Regions from separate parts of the Mus musculus genome. Here region 1 is reported to be linked to region 2. Evidence: microRNA targets listed by miRTarBase, many of them from high-throughput screens and not tested one by one. Region 2 holds a microRNA gene; the other region holds the end of a gene's coding sequence.

Evidence for each region. The annotated mature microRNA mmu-miR-493-3p reads UGAAGGUCCUACUGUGUGCCAGG and lies in region 2 at 1,889-1,911, opposite strand. An mRNA with a match to its seed (bases 2 to 7 or 8) in the 3' UTR can be bound and repressed. Matches are read on the target gene's strand: a 7mer-m8 pairs with bases 2 to 8, a 7mer-A1 pairs with bases 2 to 7 and ends in A, and an 8mer does both.
Region 1: the mRNA of Sfrp1 is a reported target of mmu-miR-493-3p. Seed matches in the 3' UTR shown: 7mer-A1 at 3,114-3,120, 7mer-A1 at 2,974-2,980 and 8mer at 849-856.

What each region holds. Positions count from the first base shown.
Region 1 is chr8:23,445,846-23,450,118 of GRCm38, reverse strand. Sfrp1 (secreted frizzled-related protein 1) reads right to left here. Exons shown (of 3, transcript NM_013834.3): 3 at 487-3,953. The coding sequence ends at 3,631. Among named protein-coding and RNA genes, the nearest start is that of Sfrp1, 36 kb to the right of the region's middle.
Region 2 is chr12:109,577,921-109,582,193 of GRCm38, reverse strand. Mir493 (microRNA 493) reads right to left here and starts at 1,961; the gene lies at 1,879-1,961. It also overlaps a transcript of Rtl1 not described here.

The DNA.
Region 1 (4,273 bases), not on the chromosome of region 2:
AAAGGTGGGTTCAGCAGAGAGCTCAGCCCATACGGCCAGGATGCTGGGACTGTGGGTTCTAAATCTAGCTGCGCCAGTGACCCAAAGTCTTCTTGGCAGTCCCTGCCATGTCATATTTTATTCTTCAAAGTCCCAAATGGGACCACAGCACCAAACATAAGCCATTTCTTAAGTTCTCGCTGGTAATTTGAACGTGAACTCTAAAATGGACCTGTCGGGTGGGGGCATCTGAAACATGGAGCAGAAATGTTTGGCAGAACTGAAACCCACACAGACAGACAGACAGACACCAGGCTTATACGGAGATGGTTAGTGGGGAAGGAGGGCAGGGAATGCCCGTGCTCCTTCTCAGGTCTCTTCCACCCCATCCCACCCAGCTAGGACCAGAAAACACCACTGAAGCAACTCAAGGGAGCATGCCGAGTGGGAGGGCATCGGGGAGTGGGGAGTGGATGACAGGGGTTGGGTCAATCACAACTCACGCTGTTATTGATCGAGTGATTTTAGTGAAGTGAATACATTGGCAGGGAAAGCATGAAAACAAAACACACCTGGGAATCACTATTAACATACGTGATAACATCAAAACATCTGGTCAAATGTAGTTAAGAAACAACAGGAATGAGAAGGAATGTAAAACATCTTCACAGTATTCAAAGCTTTTGTATAAAAGGCTTAGGCTATAAAGTGGAGTCCTCAGGGGGTGCGAGGAGGGGGGAACCAGGGCCAACAGGAATTCCGTCTCTGCGCTTAGGACCCACAGCGCCAGGTCAGAGCAGCCAACATGCCATCCTGGAGATGTGACCCCGGGTCTGCTTCTGGAGCACATCTTGAACCACGTCCGGCTATGAAGGTCCAACAGAGCATCTGGTTACAGGGAGGCTAACAAGATAAAACAGGTTCTAGCTTTGGGAAATGTGATTTCTGTAATTTACACATTCTTAGGAAGCCTGGAACTGGGCTTAGACTCAGCCCCAGGGAGGACCTAGTGCTAACCCACCAACCATGAGCTCTGAGGATACAGAATGTTTTAAAAAGCAAACATATTCTTACAATTCTTGCCTCTCAAGTCTATTTTCTAAGATAGCTATTGATAGTTCCCAAAAGTTTGGTGGGTTTAGCTTTCCCTGACTCTCCGGAATGACTATTTTAAAGCTTTCCAAATCTGACCTTTTCATTGGCAACGCTGGTCAGAGCGCACATGGACCACCTCCATTGGAAGCCAGGGACAAAGCTAATGAGTCTGCACATTGGTTTGTTACACCTTTTGTTGAAAAGGACAAAGGCTGCTGATCATGCAGCTTTCGGGCCCCTAGATAGCCTCCCTTTTTGTCTGGAACTGCTGATGTAGTATAGACAAAACTGGTCTGTGTGTGTGTGTGTGTGTGTCTGAAATCCTCACAGGTCCGCAACAAAACTCTGAAGCTGGGGACTCTGAAGTAAGGGGACAGACAGCTGCTGCAGTTCACATGATCAATTGATCGATCAATTGGTTATGAATCCTTCCTGAGGAAGTTACTTCCTGAGGGTTCCCAATCTGGAGCCCCCCAGAACATGTCCTCCCTTTTATGCTGTGAAACTGCTAACATCCCCAGGGAAAAAAAAAAATCATGTAGGCAGTCTCCCGCCACTCGGAGAGGGCCCTGCCACATGATACACTTTCCCAAAATGAGCAGACCCCTCACCAAGCACTGAACTAGTAGTGGCTCAAGGCCCAGATCTACACACTCAGGAGACTTTGCATTTCAGTTATGGACAATGAGGTTAGACTATTTCTAATTACTAATGCACATACATATTTTTAAATCATCCACAATGATAGGCAAATCACCTAAGGTTCCTCATAACATTGTGATTAAGGTTGGAAGTATTCTTAAAAGGGTTAAGATAATAGGACTACTAAACATGAAGTTAATTAGGTCACTACCCCACTCAGGTCAGTAACTAAGTTGGCATGGTGAGTTTTCAGGCTGGAGTCTTTCAGAAGTAACCAGAGTTTTCCTGTTTCTGGGTCAATCCAAGGCCACTAGATGATTCTTCAAAATCATTCCTACCTCTGGATTGAGTATGCCAAAGGGACAGTCACTGTAGCCCCATGGATGCGGTGGGGAATTATCAGACTTTGGTGGAAGAAATTAACTTTTTTTTTTTTTCAGAACTACAGGGACAACAGGAGTAAGGCTGCCTAAGAGAACTGGAATATTTACATCACTTATTAAGCATACCAACTTTGAGAAATACCTCTGGGCACTTGGGAAAGCTGCAGATTAGTTAGCCTTTGAAACCATCTCCTCGGATAGGGCACTTTAGCCTCAAAAGAATATGACCGGAGGAATGCAAAAGTAAAGGTGGAGGGCTCAGGCAGGCAGCGATTTTAAATTTGTCTGAATTATAGGCAATCATGTATAAGGAAAAGGGCTTTCCTTGCAGAAAAGCAGAGTCTATGGATACTGTCTCCTTCCACAGCTATACTGATTCCTGGGCAGCCAGGCACAGCCATGAGGCCCATCTCCTCCACAGCACATGCACAGAGTTGCCTTCCACAGCACATGCATAGGCGGTGTATTAAGAGGGCAGCCTTGGGCAGTCAACGACGTTAGTCTTTGAAATGCTGAGTGTGGACTTTTACTCAAGCCTTGGAGGGTATGTGGGCTTTTATCCCTGTCTTATGCTGCTGTTCTTTTGAAATGTGACAGATGGAATTACAAAGTGAGGCTGTTGGCACAGGATTCCCCCAATCACCCTGACTTGTGACCTGCTTGACATTTCTACCTTTGCTCATTTCTTCCACTCTATTGTTGAAAACTAGTAGCTGTTGGCTTCTCAGCCTGAAATGCCTCATGTCTCTTCATGCCCACGTACCTCCTTCATACAAAAGCAGACCCTTGCCTGGCATCCTTGTATCCCGATGGACTGGTAGAAGTGTCCATCTGAGACCTACAGTTTCCTATCAAAGGTGGCCAGTTCAAAAGCTGAAGGTAGAGTAGGCAGTGGCCTCCCACCCAAACCCTTAGCTATCCCGTTCTATACTGGGATACCCTGGCTACTTTCAGAAGTGTGTGTGTGTGTGTGTGTGTGTGTGTGTGTGTGTGTGTGTGTGTGTGTGTGTGTTTTGAAGGTGGCGATGGTCTATCTAAGGCAGAAAGAGGGGGATTAATAATAAACTGAAAGCAGCCTGGCTTGGCAATGATCAGACTCTTCTACCTGTAGAGGCTTAGACTCCACAAGCAATTGGTAATGATGTCCCGAACAACGTTGAGCTGAGCAGCTGTCCGTCTGCAGTTCTTTACAATCCGTTTTGTTTTGTTTTTCCAAACCGGCCAACATTTTCTGTTTTTTGTGCCCGAGGCTCAGTGAAAGGATTCTGCCTCTCCTTTTGCACCGTGCCTGCTGGCCCTGCTGCAGCCCTTAAAAAAAAAAAAGCCTTCCTAATCTAAAGGGCCGTGGCCTTAGCTGGATGTGGCTATGGAGGGAAGGGAGAGGGTTCGCTGTAGGAACAGAGCCAGGTGCAATGCAAAAGCCACAACTGTAATGGGTGAGAGCAATATGTGAGCCCCCAAGAGCCAGGGTCATCCACGCGCCCCCACCCTCACCCCAAGCCACACTCCCCTTCCCCAGTCCGCCCCAGTATCACTTAAAAACAGACTGGAAGGTGGGACACTCGTGGTTTTTCATTCTCTTCATGAAGTTTTTGAACTCCTTGTTTTTCTTGTCCCACTTGTGAATGGCTGTCAGCAGGTACTGGCTCTTCACCTTGCGGCCCATGATGAGAAAGTTGTGGCTGAGGTTGTCCAGCTGGTGGCAGGGACAGTCGGCACCGTTCTTCAGGAACAGCACAAGCCGCTTCAGCTCCTTCTTCTTGATGGGCCCCAGCTTCAAGGGTTTCTTCTTCTTGGGGACAATCTTCTTGTCACCGTTTTCCTTCTTCACTTCTTTGATTTTCATCCTCAGTGCTAGGATGAGGAAGAGAGGCAGAGAGGGGAGGGGAGGAGAGGGCAAGGAAGAGGAGGCGTTAAAACAAAGCGCTTAGCATTCAACCCTGTCCTACATAAAAGGGAAACAGTGTATCTCAGTTACCCAGAGTGCTACTGAGCTGCAAGCAACCAGGGATGCTGCGCTGCACTGAGACCTGTCTCAAATCAACTCAACGTTGGTTTTCAACACAGTAAGTGGAATGATTCAGAATCAGAAAGCTAAATAGTCATGTTTTCTATCATGCACAGAATATAGATGGGTGTGGGGGGGTGCGCACACGTCCACGCAGGCGCACACA
Region 2 (4,273 bases):
GTGTGTGTGTGTGTGTGTGTGTGACACATGAGGAGACAGGGCAGAGCTCAGATAAGGGACAGCTGCATGAGCCTAGGTGGGACACTAAGGAGGAGAGTGGGCTTGGTGTGACATTAGTAGACTCAGCCTGAAGCACTGAAACAACACAAGATACAGAAGATACCAGCTTTTACTGAACTACTTGTGTGGTCACTGTGGGGAGAGCTTTGTGTGACTTCTGGATGCAGGAGGATGTCTATGTGACAGTCCAGTGTGGAGCAACTTGGGGTGACATGGAGGTGGGGCAGGGACTAAAGGGGTAGGGGAGGAGTTCGAGGTGATATCAAAAGAGGAGGTGGGTCCATGTCACATACAGTAGGGTCACAGATTGTGACACATGACTAGATAGAGATTTATAGGTTAGTAAATGGCTCTGTGTGATACTAGAATAGAAGCATAGTTCAATGTGACCCAGGAATGAGGGCAGAGGACCCAAGTAATAATTCGGTGGAGGGGTACTTAGTAGGACATAAAAGGGGGACTTTGTTATGGCATTGGAAGACGAGATAGTCAGGACACATTAGACTCAATTTAGGTTGGGGGTTCATATGATAACTGGAGGGGAGTTCATGAGACACAGAGTGGAAAAGGGGTCAGGATAGGACACACCTGAAAGAGGGGTTTGGTCAAGTACCCCGTACTGTGTCTCAGGTAAAGGAAGAAGACACAGTAGCCAGGAGGGCGGTCTGACAAGAGTGAGAGAACCTCAGGAGGCTCAGTTCACACGTGGAGGCAGCTTGGCATGAGTCACAGAGGGATTCGGTGTGATGAAAGGGTAGATAGAGAGGGATTCATTGTGGTAGGAGGAAGCCTGTGATCTGTGACCAGATATCGGACCTAGTGTAACACAGAGGTGACAGAGGTTAAGTGTGACAATGAGAGCCTGAACATCACACATGGGTAGAAGGAGGGACTGAAGGGGATCTGTGAGCGGGGAAGCATCTCAGGTAGACAGAAACTTCAGGTGACTCAGGTAAGGAGGTGAGACACATGGTTGTGACATGGGGAGGGGGCGGTAGGGTCACATCACTGGTGGGGTTTGGGCTCTCCTCCTTAAGCATCTAGAGATTGATGTCCCTCTACCTCAGCCCTGTAGGCACCAAGGCATTAACATAGCCAACCCCATTCCAGTTCCAAATCTAAAAAAAAAAAAAAAAAAAAAAAAAACCACACATTTAATTGAACATCCTGAAATGTATAAATAGATTCATTGCAACAATACATTCCTGAGAGCCCTGGTATAGGCCTGAGGGCCACCACAGTACCCAAATGTCAAGTACGTGTCAAACCTTAAGGGAACCTTTAAGTCCCATTACCCACCCTCAAAGAAAACTGACAGGTTTCTCAGAACCAGGAACTCCCAACATAGTAGTTTAACAGCATATGATCAAGAAAAAATGATTAATAACAGCAGACAGAGAGATCCCACACCCTCCCCCCACCCAGAGCCCCAAAGTGCACAGAAAATAGGCCAGGGATCAATCTCCAACAAAGCAGACTCCTGGGTTTGCTGACCCAGAGACCTGGGTGTAGATGATAGGGAAACAAGGCTGCTGGGGGCAGGAATCTGGGAGTGAGCCATTCTGGGAGGGTATTAGTGCTAGTGGACTGAGTACCTAGTACCACTTCTGGGACAAGCCACCCACTTGGAACAAAGAGGTCACCTAAGGCCTCTCCTTACAGATTATTTTGGAAATCGTAGGGCAGGGGCTGCACCTACACCTCCTCCCTGCATCCACACCCAAGCAGCCTTGACACAGGCTCCCTTCCCATCCAGCAGTTTGTAAGCATCTCCCCGAGGTGTGGGCTCTCAAGGGCAACGTCCATCTACACGATGCCTGGCACAGGGCCTGGCACACAGTAGGACCTTCACCGAATGTGCAAAAAATGAATGAAAGCCTACCATGTACAAGGCCCTGGCGGCCAGAGTGAGCCCAGAAGCGAGGATGATGGAGGTGAGGAAGGTGATGGACTGGCCAGAGGTGAGATGCTGAGCCCAGGGAGATGACAGAGGCCAGGTAGAGGTGATGAAAGTCATGATGATGAAGTCCATGGTGACAGACATGCATGAGATAGACCCCCCGCCCCTCTCAGAACAGAACAGGAGGAAAAAGCCAGGACCCTAAGGCTGAGCCTAGAAACCTCTCTCTCTGAAGATCACTATGGATTACATGTCTAGCTTGATCCCCCACCCTGAACATCCAACATGGCAGATCATTATCCCAGCATGGTGTTCGGAGAATTTCTGAGCCTGGTCATCCTACCAGGTAGGAAAAGCAGATGCCCTGAACAGGGCCCCTTAAACAGATTCTGTTTACAGACAATTCTAGAGAGCCATCTCTCCTCCCTAAATCCATCTTAAAAATTACACTTATCATTGTGTATGCGAGAGCGTTGGTACACAATGGAGCGGTCAGAGGATAGGTTCTGGGGATTGAACTCGGGTCCCTCAGGCTTGCACAGATAACACCGCTACCTGCTGACCCTTCTCTCTGATATCACGCATCTTATTTGCTTTTCTTTAACTGTTTCCAATTTTAAATGGGCCACCAAACTTCCAGGGCAAGTTGGAAAGTTGGCAAGCAATAAAGTGGCCTTCAGCATATTGTCCGAGTAGATTTGTGACTGGTTTGTCAGAACTTTTCCATCAACACCCGAGTTTGCCTATGCCAATCCTCGCTGGTTTATCACCCAGCAATGAGTTTTCTCAGAAAAACTCCGATGCCATCAGTGACCTTCAGTTCAAATCATGGTGCTCATTGTCATCAGGAAAACAAAACCATTGCCCATGGGTATCTCAGGGAAACGTGCAGGGAACTTACCTGGAGCCCAGGGGATGGGATGATGTCATCTCTTGCTGGTAGGGGTGCAGGTGTCTCTGTTGAAGCTGTCATGCAGCGTTACAATCTGGGAAGCTCATCCAGTCTGGGCGTACCCAGGCCAGCACCAGAGGGCGGCAGGTACCCCAGGGAGTGGCTAGGGAGGTTGGTCGAAGGACATAGACCAATTCTTGCCCAGCCAGCTAACCCAGAAACTGGAGAGTGGGGTGGGGTGGTGAGGTGGGGTCTGGGGAGCTGATTAGAACCCCAAGCAAGGGGGCAGGAGCTGGAGAGTGGACAGGTTGCCCCACTCCACTTAGGGGAGAGAAACCCCAATGGAGAGGGCTTGGGGCAATGGATGGGGGAGGAAGTACCCCACTCATGGATGCGGTGAGGGGCTGTCTAAGCTTTATGGCCAGAAAGAAGAGGGAATTGGGGAGTGGGGACACAAAGATGGCAGGGAGTGACCACCAACTCTTAACCCTGTGGTGGCTCTAGCCACACGGGGCAAATCAAGGAGGTTGGGTGCAAGGTTGGGGCAAAAGTGTGTGTAGAGTCTGCACCCAGGGCATCTGGAGTTCGGGGGAGATCCACTCAGCCTCTTCTTACTTCCAGGCATTCATCGTTAACCACCACAGGACTCATACTTACACAAACCACACAACACAACACAACACACACAAACACACAACATACACACACACACACCACAGCACACATACACACAAAACACATAGCACACTATACACAACACAATACACACAACACACGCACATTTTCACAACTCACATGGACTAAGGCTCCTGCACAATGAGGTCCAGTGCCCACCTTAACCTAACACATGGACCAGTGAACGCAGGGGCTTATTTCTGCAGTGCCGATCAGGCACTATCCATTGCCCAGGCACTACCTATTGCCGTGGCTGCACAAGAACTGGGTAAAGGGGTGGGGATAGCCTCCATCTGAGGCTCCCAAATAGCAAAAGTCTCTAGAAGAGCTACTTTTATAAGCTATGTGAGCACAGGGCTGTGTGAGCTGTAAGGCCCAGCCTTTTAGAGGGATGGCACTCGATTCTAAGTAAAAGGAGGTTAGGGGCATTAATCTGAAGTTTTGGATCAGCAGAGAATCTGGGGAAAGCATCCTGCTACCTTTAGAGCCACGTGGGAATATTCAGTTTGGCCTTCATGCCCTCTCAGAGCCCAGGAGCTCTGTCTATGATCACACACACACACACACACACACACACACACACTTTCACTCATACTTCACACCATCATCCAACACCATGCAAGCAATAAAGTGCTTTGTAAAGTGCAGGTATATAGACAGTGATCTGAAATACCAACTCCCTCCCCCTCCCATCGGCCCCCTCCATGCCCAGCCCTCCCCCAGGCTTGCTGACTACTTCCTTCTAG